Linked DNA regions of Arabidopsis thaliana. The protein of the gene in region 4 purifies or fractionates together with the protein of the main gene of each other region. This does not show direct contact. Each region holds a gene or a part of one and is shown on either strand. Other genes may lie near its edges.

Region 1 (5,758 bases), on a different chromosome or scaffold from region 4:
TTGTCTCCAATGCTAATATATCTTATTAAATAATGCTATAGGTACCAGTGTCCGATTCCTATTGAGATGGTGAAGCCATTGGCTGAGATTGACTACGAAGGGCAAGGTATTTTAGAGTCTCACTCTTAATGACGTTTTTAAGCTCCCTGCCCTGCTGTCTTTTTTAAGTTTTTAAATTATCTCTTTCTTGTAGACGGATCTCCTAGAGGCAGAGGAGGAAGAAGAGGTAGAGGAGGAAGAGGAAGGGGAAGGGGAAGAGGTGGTAGAGGTAGGATTACTTTAGAAATTGTTTATACAGTGTCGTAGTTTCGTTGTAAGCTTTTGCATGTGATTTGTGGATAAGCGTTTGAGTGGACTGTGCTAATTCCTTTTTTCGACTTATCAGGAAATGGACCTGCGAATGTTGAGTATGATGATGGAGGAAGGGGAAGAGGTGGCAGAGGTAGGATATCTTTAGCCAAATCGTATTTGAGTATAGATTTTTGCATATGATTTGTGGATAAGGGTTTGAATGTGTTGTGCTATTTCTTTTTTTGTTTGATTTACCAGGAAACGGATATGTGAACAATGAGTATGATGATGGAGGAAGGGGAAGAGGCGGCAGAGGTAGAATTGCTTTAGAATATTTCTTTCCAAATCTTAGTTTTACCTTTTAACATATTTGCATGTGATCGGCGGACAAGTGTTTGATTGGCTTGTGCTATTTCTTCTTTCGGATTTGCCAGGAAGTGGATATGTGAACAATGAGTATAATGATGGAGGTATGGAGCAGGACCGGTCATATGGCAGAGGACGCGGGCGTGGGAGAGGAGGTGGACGTGGTGGTCGAGGAAGAGGAGGTTACAATGGCCCCCCACCACCTTACTATGAAGCTCAACAAGATGGAGGAGACTATGGATACAACAATGTTGCTCCTCCAGCAGACCATGGATATGATGGTCCTCCGCCTCAGGGACGTGGTACGTTGATGATTTTGTTACACTAATGTTTTCTCATTAAATAATGATGAGTTGTAAATGTTTAAAAATTGTTGGAACAGGACGTGGCCGTGGAAGGGGAGGTCGTGGAAGAGGAGGAGGCCGTGGTGGATTCAACAGATCAAATGGAGCACCTATCCAGGCTGCTGCATGAGCGACCAGGGTCATTGAATGAAGTTGGATCTTTCTTACATTCTCATGTTTTTGTCTCTGTTCTTCAAAGCAACTTGTTGCCGTAGAATAATCTTTCGTTCATGTCGCTTTAGGTTATATATATCCTCATTTATTTTATCATGGATCTTGGATTTTCAAGTTTTTATTCCTTCAAGAGTTTTCTAGTTTTGTCTCTTTTTTGAGTTTTGGATATTTGTTTGACTCCAATTACATTCGTCGGCGTATTGACACTAACAAGTAAACAACCCCCTTTGGCATTGCCTTTTTCCATTGGTTCGTATATCAGTTGATTATATATTCTAACAACATAAAAAGATAACAAGAAAAAATAATGAATAATAAAATTGTAATTCCAAGTTCCAACGTGTTTTGAGACAAAAAGAAATTAACCCAACTTGCGCTGGTTGTGTTTTGGGCTATTCGAAGAAAGCGTACGAAAATAAGTGAGAGAGGTCCAAACAAAACTAGTAACCAAAAAGTTAATCGCCGTTGCCGGGGATCGAACCCGGGCCACCCGCGTGACAGGCGGGAATACTTACCACTATACTACAACGACATTTGTTGCTCAATCGTAATGTAGAAGATATAAATACTAATATGGAAAAAAGCTGTCTTGAACAAAAAGAAATATACTTTTTTTGTTGTGTCCAAAAAAAGGAAAATACTTAGGAAAGAAAAGAGTCTCAGCAGCATCAGCTCGTCCTTAAATCTGATCCATCATCGTCACTTTCTCCCGGCGAATTCCGTTTTATCGATTTAGTAAGCTCTCTGTCTTTATCTCTCCGTCTTTCTCAGTCAACAAATTGGTTGAAACTTCAATCGGTTCCTTGAAATCTCACCGGCTTAGTTGCATACTTCTGCAAAAACCCTAACCTTGTTTTTGTCTTTGTGAAGAGTAACGAGATTTGTGCAAAGATGACTCAGGACGTGGAGATGAAAGATAACAACACCCCTTCTCAATCGATTATCTCTTCTTCTACCTCTACTATGCAGAGTAAATCTCGATCTGAATGCTTTAATTCTCGAACTGTTTTCATAATTGCTAAGTTTCTTCTGGGTTTTGACGCTTTGTTTCTTTGTTTCCCAGATTTGAAGGAGATTGCAGCACTCATCGATACTGGGTCTTACACGAAGGAGGTTCGTCGTATTGCTCGTGCTGTGCGTCTCACTATAGGGCTTAGGCAGAAACTCACCGGCTCTGTGCTCTCTTCCTTCCTGGATTTTGCTTTGGTTCCAGGATCCGAAGCTCACTCTCGCCTCTCTTCCTTTGTTCCTAAGGTATTTGTGGGTTTTACTTCTTCACTTTGATGTTTCAGAATTCTCAACTTGGTTGTTCCTTTTAGCATCTGGCTTTAGGTTGTTTAGATTCGTGTTATGGTTGTTATACTTTCTTTTGATGTTGTGAATGGCAAGTTATCTAACATACAACTGGCTTAGAGACTGAAATATTGGAACTTTTAATGGTTTAGGGTGATGAACATGACATGGAAGTTGATACTGCCTCATCGGCCACACAAGCTGCTCCTTCTAAGCATCTACCTGCAGAGCTCGAGATCTACTGCTACTTCATTGTTCTTCTTTTTCTGATTGATCAGAAGAAGTACAACGAGGTAACTACTGCTGTATCTTTGTGTTTTGTCATAAGTTACTTTTCTGTTGTGATTTTAATTTTAATGAGTTGCTTTTAATCATCTCTTAGGCTAAAGCTTGTTCTTCAGCAAGCATTGCTCGTCTCAAGAACGTCAACCGAAGGACCATTGATGTGATAGCATCAAGACTCTACTTTTACTATTCTTTGAGTTATGAGCAAACCGGTGATCTTGCTGAAATTCGCGGGTTAGTAGCTCAAAGACTGTTTTAGTTTTGTACTTTGTCTTACACCTCATATTAATCAGTAGCTCAATAGTTAATAATCTGGTCATTTTTTCTACCTGCAGTACTCTTCTTGCGTTGCATCATTCTGCAACGCTAAGACACGATGAGCTGGGTCAGGTATGTCTTTGTTTAGCTCATTCAGTCGGCATTCATTATTTTGAAACTGTTACTTGCTTCTTATTCAAATTTATCATGTTGAATGCAGGAAACCCTTCTGAACCTGTTGCTACGTAACTATTTGCATTACAACCTCTATGATCAGGCAGAGAAGCTAAGATCAAAGGCACCTCGCTTTGAGGCTCATTCAAACCAACAGGTAGCTCTTGGCTATTCCTTCATACTCTAAGTTTTCTCGGTTCTCTAGATTCTATATTTGCATGAAAACTCCAATGCCACTTCTGCAATCTTTCCAGAGAATTATTTTTTCTATTCGCTATAGCATTTTCCATCTAGGAGGCTCTTGTGTTTTCTTTTCAATCACTAATTATTTGCCGAACTTACTTGAAGTGTCCATTTTGCCTGTCCTTTTCATACTTCTGACACCACCTCTTACCATTACCATCGATCTACCTTGTGTTTTTCTTTGCTACATATGAATTTTGTTCTTTTTTTAACCCTTCAATTGTTACTGTTTCAAAAGAATAAACAGCAAGATGACTTGTCTAAAACATTATACTTTGCAGTTTTGTAGGTACCTTTTCTATCTCGGGAAGATTCGTACTATTCAGCTCGAATATACGGACGCAAAAGAGAGCCTTCTTCAGGCGGCCAGGAAAGCCCCTATAGCAGCTTTGGGCTTCAGGATCCAATGCAATAAATGGGCAATTCTGGTTCGTCTACTGCTGGGTGAGATACCAGAGCGTTCTATCTTCACTCAAAAGGGTATGGAGAAGGCCCTCAGACCCTACTTCGAGCTAACAAATGTGAGTCCACTTTCATAATCTTGCTGCTGTGACATGTATTCATTAATTTATGAGCGGATAACTAAACTGGTATTAGTATGTGGTCACTTGTGATCTTGCTACTTCACTTCTGATTTTAAACCGGTTCCTACTTTTCACTTACTGGCCTATACACCTCTTCTGTTAAAATCTCTCTGTGGTCACTTGAAACACAATTTTGTTGCTGCTGTTGTTTTCTGCTCCTTCGAATTATATTGAACATGAATTTCTGGCTGTTTACTGTTGCTTTTTAGAGATATATGATGCAACTGGATAGTTGATACTGATTTTGATCTGAGGCTTACTATTAAAGCTCTGTTTTGATTTTACAGGCGGTTAGGATTGGGGACTTGGAGTTGTTTAGGACAGTCCAGGAGAAGTTCTTGGACACATTTGCTCAAGACAGAACGCACAATCTCATCGTGCGACTCCGCCACAATGTCATCAGGACTGGACTGCGGAACATAAGTATCTCCTACTCAAGAATCTCTTTACCCGATGTTGCCAAAAAGCTGAGGCTCAACTCTGAAAACCCTGTGGCTGATGCGGAAAGCATCGTGGCAAAGGCCATACGCGACGGAGCTATTGATGCTACAATCGATCACAAAAACGGATGCATGGTCTCCAAAGAAACTGGGGACATCTACTCGACGAATGAGCCACAAACTGCGTTCAACTCAAGAATTGCTTTCTGCCTCAACATGCATAACGAAGCTGTCAGAGCATTGAGGTTTCCTCCTAACACTCACAAGGAGAAAGAAAGCGATGAGAAGAGGAGAGAGAGGAAGCAACAGGAAGAAGAGCTTGCTAAGCATATGGCTGAGGAAGACGATGATGATTTTTAGACAAAGGTCATCTATTTCTTATAAGAGTTGACTCTCCATCTGTCTCACTTTTTTTATGTTCACAAGTTTACTTGGTACTCTTCTCATCGTCTCTAAGTGTTTCTTTATTGAGGATTTTTATCCTCAGGAACCTTTTTATTACTCTGGTTTCACTTTAGGAAAAGATATTTATCTTGTTGGTTTCAGAAGATCAAATTCAACTTCGTTTAATTGTGTTTGGGAGATTTTCGCATTTTAAGAATTGAACACTTGTAGTTATAGCTAGCTGTATTAGGTGGGTCATTATTAGAAATTGACCATGTGAAATGCTATCATCTCCAGGCGATGCATACCATTAAAATCCACATTCATAATTTACATTAAATGATAGATAAGCAGTCATAAATATCTAAAGAATGAAAACAGGACATGTGTATTGACCATTATGTGTATTGATACATTAGTCTATCTCTGCCAAACTAGGTCTCATTTTCTTGAATAAAACAATCTCATGTTATGCTTTTAATTATAGGTGTTTCTGGTTCGATTCATTAACTTCTTAATAATGACAAAAATCTGTAGAATAATACCCGGGCTCTTTGATAGCTACAACTGCCAACTATTTAATCCATACAATCAAAATGTAATTTTCATAATTGTAGATTTGTAATGGGTCAATATATTCTTACACTCTAATCATATCCAAACAAGCTCCTCAATTCCTTAATCTTGTTGTATCCAGTATCCATATTTTGTTTTCTTACTGCGGAAGTTACTTGGTAGTGTAGTCTGGATTTCGGATTGCAGACTTTGCAGTCCACGATTTTTCATATGTTGGTGACAACGAACAAGTGTTAAGTTGACGGAAGTGTTCGTAACAAACGACGTCGTGACGGTGATCTTCATCAACTTTGATTGGAAATCAAGTTTTGAGGGACAATTAACCCAAAAAAATAATCATAATGAT
Region 2 (3,402 bases), on a different chromosome or scaffold from region 4:
GGAAGGAGGGTAGATGTTTTGGCTCTTCACACAGAAGCTGAGGTACTTCAAGTTTTGATATGTTGTTGTTCTTACGGGTATTTGTACTAACACCTTAGATCTTGGAATCGTTTTAGATTGCTAGGGAGGAGGCAACATCTTCGTTAGAGCACCTTTATAAAGTTGAATTCGAGCTTAACTCTCTTAAGACCGTGACTAATAGATTGATATTGACTCGAGAGGAGTATTTTTAAAGGTTCATACTTTTTGTTTCCATCTAGTGTATTTTTTAAATCGATAGTTTCTCATCTGGAGCTCTCTTTAGGAAGAGATTGTTCTGAAGAGGTGCTGGCTTTTACGTTATTGGGGCTTATGCGTTAGACATGGTTGTACATTGCTTTCTTACACATTATAATCTATAAATATATAAACTTTGATAATGTATTCCGTCTATTTTTGAGACATGACAAAAAAATGCCTCATGATCCTTTATACAGAGCAAATACTTCAAAAATGTCTCTTAAATAATCATCTAATAACAGACCTCTGCTTCTAAAAAAGGATAGAGTCGACAAAAAGAGTTCACATGTTAAGATTTTTTTACCTTTAGTGAAGACAGCTCCCGCAAACCTTTTAAGAACAATAATCTCTACATTACTCTAAGTCATTCATTACATGATAAAAAGAAACACATCAATTATCTGATCTAGTTTCAATCCTTCTTTTTCTCAGCCTGGAGCTTACTCTTAAACTTCTCTGCTTTCTTCTGAGAGGCTCTCTCAGCCCTCTCTGCATCTCTCTCTGCCTTCTTTACAGCTCTCTTGGCTACAGACAAGAATAACTAATTCAGTAAATATACAAGTATTAAATTGTATGTATTGATTCCATGAGTAATGTAGCTTTGTTGTTTGGTTAAGACTTTCCATTTCGTTCCACACAAAGTGATTGTTGAGGAATTACCAATCTCTGATAATGATGTAGAATCCATGTATCCAAGATGATGAGGTTGGAAATGCTGAGATGAATCAATTGCACCAACTATTGAACATAAACTGTTAATATCAATGTCAGAAGAAATCTGTAGAACCATTATCCTAAAAAAAATGGTATTGCCAACACTGTATTTATCAAAAGGTTCAGAAAAAATGATTCAAAGTAGGTTCAAATGTTAGAGATTACTTACTTGTAAATTTTGCAGAAACGTAGTGTCATTTCACAAATTGATGACCGACTAACAATAACTTTTACATTGGAAAAAGCAATATCTTTAACCAAAGTCTCAAGCATGGCTTCCTTTGACTTTCCAAAGTTATGTACCTAGAAGACTAGAACCCAAAATAAAGGAGAAAAATAGTCAACAATTAAAAACACAACCATCCTTGAGAAAGACAGTTACAAAGGATGCCATGTTATGCAAGATTTGTTCAACCTGGTCTCACCTTTGCATTTTTCAAAGGATGCCTAATGTTACCTACATCGTCACTTTTAAAGACGATACCACAGACAACGCAAGATTTGCGAGAGTCTACTCCCAATATCTTGGCAACATGGACATCATCAATGTTCATGGTCATTGCATTCGTTAGGACTTAAGAGCATACCTGTAAACAGATGAACCATTCTATTGCAATAACACTGAAGAAATGAGAAATAATAAAAAAAATCTTACATGAATAAAATACCTCAAGTACTAAAGAATTTAAACTTTTTTGGTTAAACTGCTTGCTAGTTATCATCCTCATTCGGGAAAGAAAAGTCTCTTGCACAACCATAGTCTCTCAGATATCTTAACTTGTTCTTGAAGTATCTCAAGAGCCTACCGAACAAAAAAACAAATATGATATTTATGTTTTAACTCTAGAAATAATAAATAGTAATAAGGACGCATCATTCACCTTTTCCAAGGATTTTGTATATCCCGAAATGTTATCAGTCTCATCTCTTTCAAAGAATCTTTATGGTTGAGAATTGATCTAGCAAAAGGAATGGCTAAATCATCTCTTTCATCTTTCTGCTGCTTAGAGGCTATTTCGGATATGATAAAAAGCTCATCTATCTTATTAAGGATTGATGTTGCCAAGCATAAAAACAACACAGAGATAAGTTACACTTACGTATTACAAAGAGAGCAAAAGTTAGAGATATCAAGTAATAAATGAAAAAATATGTATTGCCTAATAAGTAATTAATAATTTAATAAGAAATAAAAACTATATGAAAAATATTTTTTATCATACAACATATGCTATAATCACTGATCATAAGTCATAACTAGAAATATAAATTTCTATATGCCGTTGTGGTAGACGAAACAATTACGAGCTAACTATCAAATCAAATAATATATCTCTTAGTTACTTGATTTTCCTTTTTCTATTTTACAAACCGTGAGAAAACTTTAAAAACTGTACCTAAACCATAAACAAAAAGATGATAATGCTATTATAATTGGAAAAGGGTACTTTGGATAATTATTACACAATCGTGGGATGAAAACTATAAAATAAATAAATTTAGGTACTATCGATAACAATAATAAATTATTGGGGATGAAAGTATAAATAATTAAAGAAGAAACTGTTCTCAATCCGACCGTTGAAAGCCACTCGCAATTTCTGGCTAAATGACCGAAGATCAGTCAGAGAGAGAAATATGTGCTGCCATAAATGGCAAATTTATTCATTGCTTTTTCTTTTGAAACATTCTTTGAGATTTCTGTTGAATCTAATTTTGTAAGGTTCTGTTTAATTCACGCATTTAATTCTTTTTCCATTTTTCTGGATTTCACTTTTCTGTGATTTCCAAAATTTTGACAAATTTGGTAACTATTTTTTTAATTCAATGTGTGGAATTTTTAGTTCCAATCAAACTGCCATTGATGTGAATGTGATGATGAAAATCAATGTGCTTAATTTTTGTAGTTGACGATGAGAAACACGAGACCTATTCATGTTAGGAATAAGAGTACGGAACCAGGAACACCATCTTCGCCTATGATGACGTCTCCTCTAATGCATCGTCATACACGTTCAGGATCAAATGCTGGGCCAGCTTCGAATGCTAAGAAAGCTCAGACAAAAGCAGCTGCTCAGAGACTTGCGGCTGTGATGTCAAATCAAACAGGGGACGAGGAAGATAGTGATGAAGACCTTTCCTTTGACTATAATGCTATCGGAACAGGGAGCATTGGACTCGCAGCTGGAAGATCTCATCCTTCTCGCTCTCCTGTGGTAATTAAAATTAACAGACTCACTTTTTCACTGTAATGAGGGTTTTGCAATGTAGGGATTTTATGTGATAGTGTTTTCTGGACTGACAGATTAGGAATCCTATGGCAAGGCGTCAACAGATGGCAACTCCACAGTTAGTTGATGAGGACAATGAGGATGATGATTTTTCAGTGGATGTAACGAGCAGTAGACC
Region 3 (6,471 bases), on a different chromosome or scaffold from region 4:
TTAGGCCTAGTTGTAGTTCCGTACTGTATATGATGACAATATTAGACGCTAGCTATGATGGTCCTTCTGACAAGGATCGTGATTGTGCGATCGTCTCACTCATCATAAGTTTGTTTCTTGTGTAGTAGTGGTGCATAACTGTATATACTGATATACATACTTTACTGTGAGGATGACTTATCTTGCGGAAAAGAATCTAGATGCACGAGATCACGCATGGTTAATTAAAAAAGTCCAAAACATCAATCTTTTATTAACAAACAAATAAAGTATTTATGTGTGTATGTTTGTATATAATCTTACAATTACAAAACTGTTATATGTGATACAATCACGAAGAATGAGAAAAGAAGTGTATATTCTCAACCTTCTCTCAGGTTACACAAATGATTCTATCTGTATAACAAAATTCATAAGATTTATCATGAAGACTTTATAATTAATATTTGCAATAATCAAAAGAGTCCAAATGAGATATGTTTGAGAGATGAGCACAACAAACTCGAAAAGTAAATTACCCACAATGTCACCCAAAAGAAAGAAAAAAAACACAAAGTTTTTAACTTTTTTTTTTGTAAAAGGACTTCTACTAAGTGCAAAAAGGTTTTATAGAGCGATTTTCATAACTTGCAAAAGTAAACAATGTAAATGAGTGAAAAATTTGAGGAATTTTTAGTTGGACTCTTTTTGAACAAAATTTGACATCGTCTTTATTTTTGTTATAATCTTGATACATAACAGATACAGGCCTTATGCTGCAATAAAGTTGCAGGAGAGGATTATGCTTGAACCAGCTTGTACCAAATTGGTGGTCTGGATGAGATCAGAAAACAAGTTGAGACAGGACAACCCTTTAGCGGTGAAGATGAACTTAACTATTGTGTTAACTTTGTTTACGTTCCAAGTCTGGTTCCGCTTCCAGAATAAATAAAGAGAGAGAGACTCGTGAGATCTCAACTGTGCACTTCTATTTTATATAAAGAAGATATTTCAACAATTACATCAGTTTGATGATTCTTTCTAGTTAGGGTGTAGAATCTGTGTACTCGCAAAATCTGTGTATGTATATCCGGTTTCCTTTGGGATGAATGCAGTGTTCTCATTTCTCTAGATTTATTTCATCATGACACCATCATTGTTCTAGAGTCTCAACGATTATATACAAAAGACTTATAAATAAAACACAACAAAGACCATCGAAAGTTTTTCAAGCAGAACAAAGTTAAAGACTAAAGAGAGTAGTCACAGGGTCTGATCAGACCTTTCAACTGTAGAGATCATCATCATCCGCTGCTCCTCCGGATGTGGCAAACGGGTCGACTCCCCCAACTGTGGCAGCAGCTCCAGGGAAAGCTCCAGTAGTCCCTGTCGGCGCATCTGGAAACCTGAACTCGCTTCCAAACCCACGTGATTGCTGGAGAGTCTGAGCAAAAGCCTGATACTTGCGAATGTCTGCATCACTCACTGATCTCCTAGCGTATTTCATGGATTCCTCAAAGTGACCAGCTTTAATCTCTGCAATCTCCTCCTCATCCTCTTCCATTGCTTCTGGCGACTCTGCTCTCTTCCTCTCCTTCTCAATATCCTTCTCGATGTTTTCTCTGATCGCATACTTGCAAGAACGCTGGCAAATCTCTGTGATGTCCGCACCACTGAAGCCTTGGGTGTACTTAGCAAGAGCCCTCAGGTCAACATCTTTCGCCACAGGTGATTTCCTCAAGCAAGACTTAAAGATCTGGTAACGAGACTCCTCATCAGGAAGAGGAATGTAGATGAGCTGATCGAGACGACCAGGACGCAGAAGTGCAGGATCAATAATGTCTGGTCTGTTTGTAGCTCCGATGATGAAGACCGTCTTCTTAGCATTCATTCCATCCATCTCCGTAAGAAGCTGGTTCAATACTCTATCTGCTGCACCACCAGCATCTCCAACACTGTTCCCTCTCTGTTATTATAAGAGATGTTCATTAATTTTTCTGAGATAAAGGTAAAGGGCATAAGTTGCCTAAGTAGAGAGATTAAGAAACCAAGTACAATACCTGAGTGGCGATGGAGTCCAGCTCATCAAAGAAAAGAACACAAGGGGCAGACTGTCGTGCCTTGTCGAATATCTCTCTCACATTGGCTTCACTCTCTCCAAACCACATTGTGAGGAGCTCAGGACCCTTGATACTAATGAAGTTGGCTTGACACTCGTTCGCAATAGCCTTAGCCAAGAGGGTCTTTCCACAACCAGGGGGGCCATAGAATAGGACTCCTTTAGACGGTGACATCCCAAACTTCTCGAATTTCTCAGGATGCTCCACTGGATATTGAACAGTCTCTTGGAGCTCCCTCTTGACATTCTCAAGACCACCAATGTCCTCCCAAGACACATTAGGCACCTCAACGACAGTCTCACGTAGAGCTGAAGGATTGCTGTTACCAAGGGCAGTCTGGAAATGATCATTACTGACAGCCATAGAATTGAGAATTTCAGCATCTATCTCCTCGTCATCTAGGTCAATTACATCCATCTTCTCCCTAATGCATTGGAGAGCAGCTTCAGTGCATAATGCTGCAAGATCAGCACCAACATACCCATGGGTGTCTTTAGATACTCTTTCCAAATCAACCTGAATAAGAGAAAATAATGTCAGATCTAAACAAATAGAAAAAGGTAAAAGAAAAGAAGAAAATAATTATATGTAACAGAACATTACATCTTCCGCAAGCTTCATGTTCTTGGTGTGAATCCTGAGAACTTCAAGACGACCAATCTCATCAGGAACACCAATATCAATTTCTCTATCAAAACGTCCAAATCTTCTCAAAGCAGGGTCAATGCTGTTGGGACGGTTGGTAGCTCCCATAACAATCACATGGGCTCTGGATTTAAGACCATCCATAAGTGTCAAGAGCTGGGATACAATCCGTCTTTCAACTTCTCCGTGAGTCTTCTCTCTTTTTGGAGCAATCGAATCGATCTCATCAATGAATATGATCGAAGGGGCATTCTTCTCAGCTTCCTCAAACGCTTTCCTGAGGTTACTTTCACTCTCACCAGCTAGCTTCGACATGATCTCGGGACCATTGATACAGAAGAAAAATGCACCAGTCTCATTAGCAACAGCACGGGCAATAAGTGTCTTCCCAGAACCAGGAGGGCCATAGAGCAAGATTCCTTTGGGAGGTTTCACACCAATAGACTTGAAGAGCTGTGGATGCCTCAATGGGAGCTCAACAAGTTCACGAATCTGAGCCATTTGTTTCCTGACACCACCAACATCATCATACCCAACTTCATCCAACCTCTCCTCATCCTCTCTCTTTATCGGTTCACCTTCACAGAAAATTTCTGTATCTGGAGCAACCACACAGTACTCAGCAGGATCAGTTTCAATAACCTTAAACTCAATACTTCTCATCCCTCCTCTAACTAGGAAAAGATCGCCCTTCCTCACCGGACGATATGCCTCTAAGAAATAAGCTGGCAATAAAAAATAAAAAAAACAGACATTAAACTACTGTGATAAAAACAGAACACATCAAGAAGCATATAAGCAGAGCACAACTTAAATGACAAAAACAGGGAAGAGAAAACGCTTACGTTTAAGGTATGCATCAAATATATTGCCACTTACTCCTTCAATGGTATCATCTAAAGGTAAGATGTGAACACGGTTCCCATACTTGACATCAGGACATTGATGAACAGAAATAACATCCCCAAGCCTAACTCTGAGATTAGACCTAACAACCTTGTTCATTCTAATTTTTGGTTCATCACATGTCTCATCAGCTAAAGCAATACACACAGTATCCTTCCTCTTCTTTCCCTGCAACCACAGATTCCCAAAACAAAAAGAGAGAAAACAAAGATGTAAATACACACAACTCAAAGAAACTATCCCAAAACAAAAGCATGAAAATTGAAAGACCTAATTCAAAAAACAACCCTTCTGATAAACCCTAGCAGCAAACCAATGAACAATCACAAAACCTTATAAACCCTAATTCAGTAAAGGAAACAAGAGAAGAAGAGCCTTAAAATTCAAAAATCAAACCTTGATTAAGATAGTATCACCACGAAAAAGCTGTAGCTTCTCCATGGTATCAGGGTGAAGAGAAACGACGGAGTTATCATCGTTAATGGCTTCATCCACAACCAAACGATTCGCTGCCTTCTTTTTCTCCAGAATCGCGGTGCTAAAATCCTTCTTCGTCCCCTTCCTGAGATATTCAGAGAAAAAAAAATAGAATTAGAAAAACCCCAACACGAAGACTAACAAAACCTTAAAGAGTTACTCAGTAATTAACAAGTACTTACGAATCAGATGATTCAGCTTGATTCGCCATGTTTGATAATCGAGTAGAGAGAGAGAGAGAGCTTCGCAGAGAAGAAAAAGAAGATTCGAGAAGTGTAAATAAATAGACAGGTGTGTGTTTTATTTATATAGAAGACAAATCCGTTTCTTGTTATCAAAGAAACGTTTATTTTATAGTATTTGTTTTCCATTATTATTATTCTTTTCTTCTATTTTTTTTTTATACATCTTCCAATTTAGAAAAGCTTCTAGTATGTTCTTATTTAGTTTTGAATAAACATTGTGATAATTTCACAAGAGATTTTTTTTACAAATTCAACAAAGTTACGTTTTAAAAAAAAAATTACGAAAAGAAGGTCGGTCTTAATGGGCAACAATAAAAGTTTTAATGGTTGATATTTTTTGTGGTGGAAGACCGTCCAATCTCAAACCTGACCCAAATTAGAAAGTTACATTAACCCAATTCATTCCTGGAAAACAAAACCGTTTAGAGGTGAAGCTTGGTGCTTTTGAGATTGGCAAGAGTGTGATTTAGAGACTTCAATGTTTCTCAAGGTCATTATACCCGGTTAAACCAAATTATTTGAGAGGGAAAGAGCCGCCGTGAGGAGCTCGGTGTTCATATTTATTTGTCAAGAGTTGTATCATGAATGTTAGCTCCATCCTCTGTTTAACCTTTGATGTTTCTGTAAGTTTATCCCTAACATTAATCTACCAAAGTCCAAACTTATTCAGGGGATTATTGTCGAAGAGCCAAGTATTTTTTGTGTTGGCATTTAAAGTATCACAAAAGGAATGCAGATTTTCATAGTTAATATTTGATGAACATATTCAAGAGTGAAGCCAAAGACGATCATGGAGCCTCTGTTCACCAGCTCCAAACATCTCATCGACTTTCTCGCCGTCTCTGTAAAACTGAAACGTGGGTGTGTAACGGATGTGACGAGTGGTTTCAGGGCACTCGTCGATATCTGCATAAACAAACTTGAGCTTCGAGAAACTGTTGCTGAGCTTTCGGAATGCAGGAAGAATCTGGCTACAAACTCCACACCTGAAAGTTTCAAAACAAAACCGTTCTCATTGAGGCATTTCATCGAACACTTTATAAGCATGAAAAGCGTAATCGTAAAAACAGAGAATAAGGTGTACCAAGAAGCTCCATAGTTAATAACAGCCTGAATATAACAAAGCAAAAACAAGAAGAACAGTCAGATTACGAAAAAAAACCAGCTTCGGTCTTAAAAACGTGTACAAATGTATAAGTTGTCGTGTGTAAGAACCGGAGATTTGGAAGACTTTATGTCGTCAAGAATTGTGAGGAAACTTTGGTCGTTTGGTGCGATTTTCACATTTCCATTGTCATTTGATTTGGATTCGAATTCAAGATTCGCTCCCTCTGATTCTTGCTTTCTCATTTTTTTGTTTCCTCTCTGTTTTTGTTTGTTTGGTTTTTAAAAGCGCCAATTTTGATCCCTCCAGGTTATAATATCATAACCTGAACCGAACCACAACTCTACTCACCTAACCACTGTGGCACTAAACCCAAACCAATCGATTTAATTCTAAACCGATTTTAACCAAATTTATTTTTATCTCTATTTCGTCAACCGGGTCCATTTCGATTTTAATGAGGAAGAGAGTAGGAACTAGGAATTTAAGACATAAATAGGATCTAACAAAATTTAGGAAGAAATTAATGGTTGACTAATAGGAGATCTTGGTTTATTATTATGGTAGTCTTCTTCATCACCAAAATCTGATGCTGCTGAAGAAATCATGTGTTGTTGTTGTTGGCAAAGAGCTTGATTCTCCCAACTCTTTCCCATCACAACTAAGTATAGTCCACTCATGATTAGTATTGCACCTATCAATCTGACCAAAACAAACATTAAAAAATGTGTAAGAAACTTAACTATAAGATATGAAAATAAAACGCATAATGAGTCAAAACATATAGATAACATACCCTCCAAGGTAAAAGTGTTCACCAAGAGCTAAAGTAGCTAAAACAGCAGCAATCAAAGTTTGAAGAGGCAAATACGCTGATACAAACAGAGGTCCTCCTCTTTCCACTACATATATTTGTATTGCAAACACCATTGCTGAACCAACTAAACCCTGAAATATATTCAAACTCACACCAAAATCAATCACACCATTCAAA
Region 4 (5,989 bases):
TTAACAAGCTCTGTATTAGTAATCAATCAAAAACTGAATAAAATAGATCAGATTTGAATTTCCATTGAAATGGAGAAGGATGAAGTGTAATTTTAAAGGCTGCATACCTGTCCCGTCTTTTCTCGAGGAATCGTTGAAGCGAATGCCTCCTTGCAATAGGTAGATCTGTTACGGCAAACATAATTGTAAGAAACTAATGAGAGTATCCATTTTCAAGGTTTGAAGATTACTATAACCAGTTGAATCGAATACTTACCAGCCGTGGATCTGCAAAACGAGATTGGCTGAATAGGAAATGGCTGTGCAGCTGGTGATGCCACATTAGATGTGCTTGAGAAAGAAGGAGCTCTGTTCAGTGCTGGCGATGAGACAGGACTGATGCTTGTAGAATTCTTTGTCTCCATTGCTTTAGCAGCAATACGAAGGATTTCTTGAACCTATAGGCATAGATCACAGTGAGAACAGAAATTCTGAAGTTTTTCTGACAACAACAAAGCTCTAATGGACCAACCTTTTCTGATGGAAGTCCATCAAACACAGTAACACTTCCACCAAAGAAAATAGTAAGTTGATTTGGAGGAACCGTTGGCTCAGCGGTTTGAATCTCCGTGGACCTTCAATAGCAGAAGATCTATTAAACTTGTGACCGACACTATAAAGATGGACTTATTGATGCAACATTAAGAAAACTCTCCACATATGAATCCAGTCTCTCCAATTTCACATGTTAACGGTGAAGTTCTATTAATCAAATTCACATGAAAACTTATGTATGCATTAAAGGACTTTGAAAAACACAAGTTTGTTAAGAATCCAATTGTTCCAGCCAAAAAACAAATTGGTTCCATTGAGAAATATGACTTTCCCTAAATAGAAACTAAAGTAACCAGATCGAAATGCTGATCTTCCTTATCAGAAACAAGATACAATTTTAAGTACTAAACTCAAAGCAAAGAGAGAAACAGATAAAAACATGTGAAATCAACAGTAAACACAGCTCATACCTAACTTCGTTAATCGATTTCTCAACAGATCCGGTACCGCCGATCTCAGCCGCGCCGCCGTCACCGTCGGCAACACCACATCCACCTTCAACGGAAGCGCGTGGCTCATCTTTCACCTTAGTCATGGCTTGTCTCTCAAAATTTGTAGATCTGTCTTTTTCCGATGAGAATTTTGATACTTCTCTCCCTTAGAGTACTTTTGTTTCGCTTCGTCTCTACGTCGTTCAGACCGGGAACCTCCGAGATTTATCCTTCTCAGAAGCTCCTGTAATTTGACACCTGGCGATAGATATTGATTTTTATTGTTTGACTTTTGGTGCTACGACAGTAAAAGACAACAAGAGGGTAATTAGAAACGTGCTCGAATATGATACGGTGTCGTTGGCCTTCTATGTGGGACATGCTTTCTCATTTCGGTTATCCGGAACTCCAAACGTGTATAATTTATAAGTGGCTGAGACGTTAAACTAATTGAGTTTGCTGGACCTTGATTCATTGGGCTCTTAAAGTACTGTTGGGCTTAGTCGTCTTAAAATGACTTCTAAAATGGACCTTGACTGCTTACATTTATAATGTTTCTCTTTCTATTTTATAAGCCTCTTTACATTTATAGTTTTTTTTAGTAACAATATTCGCATACAAATCACGAATTAATTTATTTCTGTTTTTGTATTCGACCGCTAAATCATCACCAAATTCAAATTTGTATATGGAACATTTTTTTTTTTCCTCTATATAATCAAACAAAATGCAAAATTGTCGAAACTATAAAATTTACTTCTTAATGTAACTTATAACTTTTTGGTTAAGGGTTAATCTAAACTTTTTAGTTTTTACTGAAGGGCGCATAAGAAATCTGGGAAATACGAGGGTAGTTTGGTCTTTACGAGTTTCATTTAGGGTTCCGAAAGATCTGGGTTTTGGCTCTCTCCTCTCATTTTCTACTCTTCTTCAAAAGCACACTCAATATTTCGAGATCCTCTCGGCTTGTTCGTTCTTCGTGAACGATCCCATCTATTGTTTCTCGCTAGTCTCAGATTCGACTAACTTGGATATCTCCGATACTGAAGAAGCCTCCTTCTTCTTTTTCCGCTCTTCCCGATGCCGGTAATGTTCCTCCGTCGTCTCTTTCAATCCTTTTGCTTTTCCCCAGTGCTCTCCGTTAACTGAACTTAGCTATTTCGTATTTAGATCGATAAGATCTTCAAAGATGATGCTAGTGAAGAGAAGGGAGAACGTGCGAGGATGGTGAGTCTTTTGAATCGATTAGGATTTAGGGTTTTTCAGATTCACTCTTCTACTGTTTAAATCTGATTTTCTTTTCTTTTGTTGTTGCTCTTTTAGGCATCATTTGTTGGTGCAATGGCTATCAGTGATCTGGTTAAGTCTACTTTAGGGCCAAAGGGCATGGTAATTTCCGATCTCTGAATATTTAGAAAGCTACAAACTTTCAATTTGGTTCTATTGATTATTGTTGAATCCTTTTTATTATTGTTTAGGATAAAATCTTGCAATCTACTGGTAGAGGTCATGCGGTCACTGTTACTAACGATGGTGCTACTATTCTCAAGTCACTTCACATAGACAACCCTGCAGCTAAAGTTCTTGTTGGTATGTAATTTCCCTGCGACATTCTGGCATGAAGTTTTCACATTCGTTTTTTCTTAGTTGGGTTTTCTCTCACAGTTCGTTGTATCTGGTTTGTTCTTCAGACATCTCGAAAGTTCAAGATGATGAGGTTGGTGATGGAACTACCTCTGTTGTTGTCTTGGCCGGCGAGCTTCTGAGGGAAGCAGAAAAGCTTGTGGCTTCTAAGATTCACCCTATGACCATCATAGCAGGTACACTTTTGGAGCTTTAAGTGTTAAGATGTCAACTTTGTATCAGCTTCTCTCACTATGGCAATGATTTCTAATTTTTTCGTTTTCTGGTTTCTTAGGTTACAGAATGGCTTCGGAATGTGCTCGTAATGCTTTACTGAAAAGAGTCATTGATAACAAGGACAATGCAGGTAATCATTATAGAGATGGTTAAACCTTGTTATGCTGACATATTTAAGTATAGCATTTTCTTGTTTGTGTGATTACTTCGACTGTTGGGTTCAAGCGGTGATTTCCTTTCAGTTGAATACAGAACGGAAATCACACTGTTATTTTACAGCATTGTATTTTTGTCAATGCAGAGAAGTTTAGGTCAGACTTGTTGAAGATTGCGATGACTACTTTATGTTCCAAAATTCTCTCACAGGACAAGGAACATTTTGCAGAAATGGCCGTGGATGCTGTTTTCAGGCTAAAGGTTCCATTTCTTCCTCCTTTTGAAACTGATTCAGCAATGTCATGTGTTCCTTCCTTCTTTTTCTCTTGATTTATGTGTTATCTCATGAAAGAAGATCTTCCTTTGACGAAATGTCATGAAATTAGGCTATTATCATTTCACCATTAGTCTTTCCCATAGTTGCATCGTTTCGTTTTGGATTGTTATATGATTTTTTTCTGACATTCTGCTTTTATCGTTCAACAGGGAAGCACAAACTTGGAAGCTATTCAGATCATCAAAAAACCTGGAGGGTCTCTGAAGGATTCGTTTTTGGATGAAGGGTAAGACAACACTTTGTGCCTTTGGCGTCAGTTCAAATTCAGTTTTCTGAGCTATTGATCTTTCTTTAGTATTCATCTGTTCATGGTAACTCTGTCGTGTTTCTTTTCTTCTTCATAGCTTACGCACCTTAATTTCATTTATAGTGTTATTTTGGAATGTTGATAGTCATCATGTCATCTTGTTGTGTTGTGTTTCTTCTTCTATCGAGTAATATGGTCTCATGTCACCTCAACTTAAAATCTATGCCTGTAGGTTTATTCTTGACAAGAAAATAGGAATTGGGCAGCCTAAGCGCATAGAGAATGCAAATATCTTAGTAGCTAATACTGCTATGGATACCGATAAAGTGAAGATTTACGGTGCACGTGTCCGTGTGGATTCCATGACCAAGGTTGCTGAGATTGAAGGGGCTGAGAAGGAAAAAATGAAAGACAAGGTGAAGAAGATCATAGGCCACGGAATCAACTGCTTTGTTAACAGGCAGTTGATCTACAATTTCCCTGAGGAACTCTTTGCTGATGCTGGTATACTTGCTATTGAGCATGCTGACTTTGAGGGAATAGAGCGTCTTGGTTTGGTTACTGGTGGTGAAATTGCTTCGACCTTTGACAACCCAGAGTCTGTTAAGCTTGGGCATTGCAAGCTTATAGAAGAAATCATGATTGGTGAAGACAAGTTGATTCATTTCTCTGGTTGTGAAATGGGCCAGGCTTGTTCAATTGTCCTAAGAGGGGCCAGGTATCCATTTTCACTCCCATTACTTGAAAGACTTCGTCTAAACTTTATTCTGTTTCTAATTCACTAATCAATTTTTGTATGGGTTCTTTTTTCTTGCAGTCACCATGTCCTAGATGAGGCTGAAAGATCACTCCATGATGCCTTATGTGTACTCTCTCAAACAGTGAATGATACTAGAGTTTTGCTTGGAGGTGGATGGCCAGAGATGGTGATGGCAAAGGAAGTAGATGAGCTTGCAAGGAAAACTGCTGGCAAAAAATCTCATGCCATTGAAGCTTTCTCACGTGCTCTAGTTGCTATACCGACAACAATCGCTGACAACGCTGGTTTAGACAGTGCCGAATTGGTTGCTCAGCTTCGTGCAGAGCACCACACTGAAGGGTGTAACGCTGGGATCGACGTCATCACTGGAGCTGTAAGTAAACTTTATAAACATTAGGATTCGCCATTGAATGTGCAAGGCTAGACTTGAATTGTGATGATGATGATTGATTGTTTACAGGTAGGAGATATGGAAGAGAGAGGAATCTATGAAGCATTCAAAGTGAAGCAAGCGGTTCTGCTTTCAGCCACAGAAGCATCTGAGATGATATTGCGAGTGGATGAAATCATTACATGTGCTCCTAGGAGGAGAGAAGACAGGATGTGAAAAACTCAACACAAACACATGAACGTGGTGGGAGCCTAGAGATTCCATGATTGTGTTTTCGATTTGGATCAGAATACAACTTTTCTAATATGTTTAATGTTTTGCTCCTCCTTAGAACTCATCTTTTTGTTTTGTTTCCTTTTAATCTTGTTTTGAGTTTGAATTTAGACGTTTGAAAAAAGTGTTAGCTCCAAAGTTTTTAATTTGTTTGGTTGTGACGTTGTGTCTTCTGTTTCTACCTGCATCCCATTTTGGCATTTTCACTGAGATGGTTCTGATATAATAGGGATGTGTGGAAAAGAAAAACGAAGTACCAAAACGTAAGTTATTTGGATACCAAAGGAAAACTTGAAGGATCCCATTTCTGAAAAAATCGTAGGCCATCTTATATATAAATAAATATCTATAAGGTATATCATTCATCACCTACAACGATGAGGTAGTTTTGCGTTGTAAAGGTTTGGTCAACCGACCAAACCACATTATAAAGCAGAGCAGATCAAAACATGGGTCCTTGCAATCGCAAACTTTAATTATAGCGACCCTTTATCAATCGTCTTACCAGAAAAAATATGTTTGTTTTTCGATTTTGTTGTTTTATATATGATTTGATTTGAATTCATGGTTTCATATATTTCAACTTCTTTTACCAAACAGTTAAAAGTCCCACAAAAAAAGTGCACCAGTTTATCAAGAAATTTTAATGGAAATGCATAAACTATACATTTTCAGAAAATTATAATAAAACAAATAATATTGAGCCGACATGAATTCATAGTCTAGACTCTAGGGACAAGGTTCGATAGATTGGTTGACATGTCATCCTAGGTTTAAATTTGGGCTTCCAAAGGTGTTCGATTTTCAAGAATTTATCACGATTCTGTTATTCAAGACTCTTTATCTTTATTATAGTTCCTGGGAGATCAAGACAGAGCAATGCATATTCCTTTGTGAAGAAATCTCTTAAACGTTTGTTGTTGATACCTTGTCTTGTTTT

The links.
Region 1: the proteins of AT5G20890 (region 4) and EMB2719 fractionate together in Arabidopsis thaliana (co-fractionation; one large-scale study listed by BioGRID). This does not show direct contact.
Region 2: the proteins of AT5G20890 (region 4) and AT4G08640 fractionate together in Arabidopsis thaliana (co-fractionation; one large-scale study listed by BioGRID). This does not show direct contact.
Region 3: the proteins of AT5G20890 (region 4) and AtCDC48B fractionate together in Arabidopsis thaliana (co-fractionation; one large-scale study listed by BioGRID). This does not show direct contact.

The regions. Positions count from the first base shown.
Region 1 is NC_003070.9:7,000,463-7,006,220, reverse strand, and holds EMB2719 (PAM domain (PCI/PINT associated module) protein), read left to right. Parts: upstream 1-1,788; 5' UTR 1,789-1,910; intron 1,911-2,045; 5' UTR 2,046-2,066; coding exon 2,067-2,145; intron 2,146-2,238; coding exon 2,239-2,429; intron 2,430-2,620; coding exon 2,621-2,761; intron 2,762-2,850; coding exon 2,851-2,987; intron 2,988-3,088; coding exon 3,089-3,143; intron 3,144-3,231; coding exon 3,232-3,342; intron 3,343-3,709; coding exon 3,710-3,949; intron 3,950-4,299; coding exon 4,300-4,812; 3' UTR 4,813-5,134; downstream 5,135-5,758. Other genes in the region: AT1G20220 (Alba DNA/RNA-binding protein), read left to right, coding at 42-106, 194-268, 386-442, 550-606, 726-959, 1,040-1,131. UniProt on the Arabidopsis thaliana protein: Acts as a regulatory subunit of the 26 proteasome which is involved in the ATP-dependent degradation of ubiquitinated proteins.
Region 2 is NC_003075.7:5,511,464-5,514,865, reverse strand, and holds AT4G08640 (ATP binding protein), read right to left. Parts: upstream 1,554-3,402; coding exon 1,419-1,553; intron 1,297-1,418; coding exon 1,163-1,296; intron 1,074-1,162; coding exon 940-1,073; intron 805-939; coding exon 692-804; downstream 1-691. Other genes in the region: AT4G08630 (fas-binding factor-like protein), read left to right, coding at 2,907-3,209, 3,299-3,402.
Region 3 is NC_003074.8:19,721,283-19,727,753, reverse strand, and holds AtCDC48B (ATPase, AAA-type, CDC48 protein), read right to left. Parts: upstream 4,405-6,471; 5' UTR 4,339-4,404; coding exon 4,310-4,338; intron 4,213-4,309; coding exon 4,047-4,212; intron 3,819-4,046; coding exon 3,590-3,818; intron 3,470-3,589; coding exon 2,703-3,469; intron 2,616-2,702; coding exon 2,040-2,615; intron 1,946-2,039; coding exon 1,265-1,945; 3' UTR 626-1,264; downstream 1-625. Other genes in the region: AT3G53220 (Thioredoxin superfamily protein), read right to left, coding at 5,139-5,358, 5,457-5,482, 5,588-5,722; UMAMIT6 (nodulin MtN21 /EamA-like transporter family protein), read right to left, coding at 5,990-6,179, 6,274-6,425.
Region 4 is NC_003076.8:7,086,023-7,092,011, reverse strand, and holds AT5G20890 (TCP-1/cpn60 chaperonin family protein), read left to right. Parts: upstream 1-1,842; 5' UTR 1,843-2,105; coding exon 2,106-2,111; intron 2,112-2,195; coding exon 2,196-2,252; intron 2,253-2,348; coding exon 2,349-2,414; intron 2,415-2,503; coding exon 2,504-2,615; intron 2,616-2,716; coding exon 2,717-2,845; intron 2,846-2,943; coding exon 2,944-3,015; intron 3,016-3,186; coding exon 3,187-3,302; intron 3,303-3,527; coding exon 3,528-3,604; intron 3,605-3,857; coding exon 3,858-4,343; intron 4,344-4,442; coding exon 4,443-4,758; intron 4,759-4,845; coding exon 4,846-4,992; 3' UTR 4,993-5,359; downstream 5,360-5,989. Other genes in the region: JAZ12 (jasmonate-zim-domain protein 12), read right to left, coding at 108-165, 257-437, 512-614, 1,005-1,129. UniProt on the Arabidopsis thaliana protein: Molecular chaperone; assists the folding of proteins upon ATP hydrolysis. Known to play a role, in vitro, in the folding of actin and tubulin.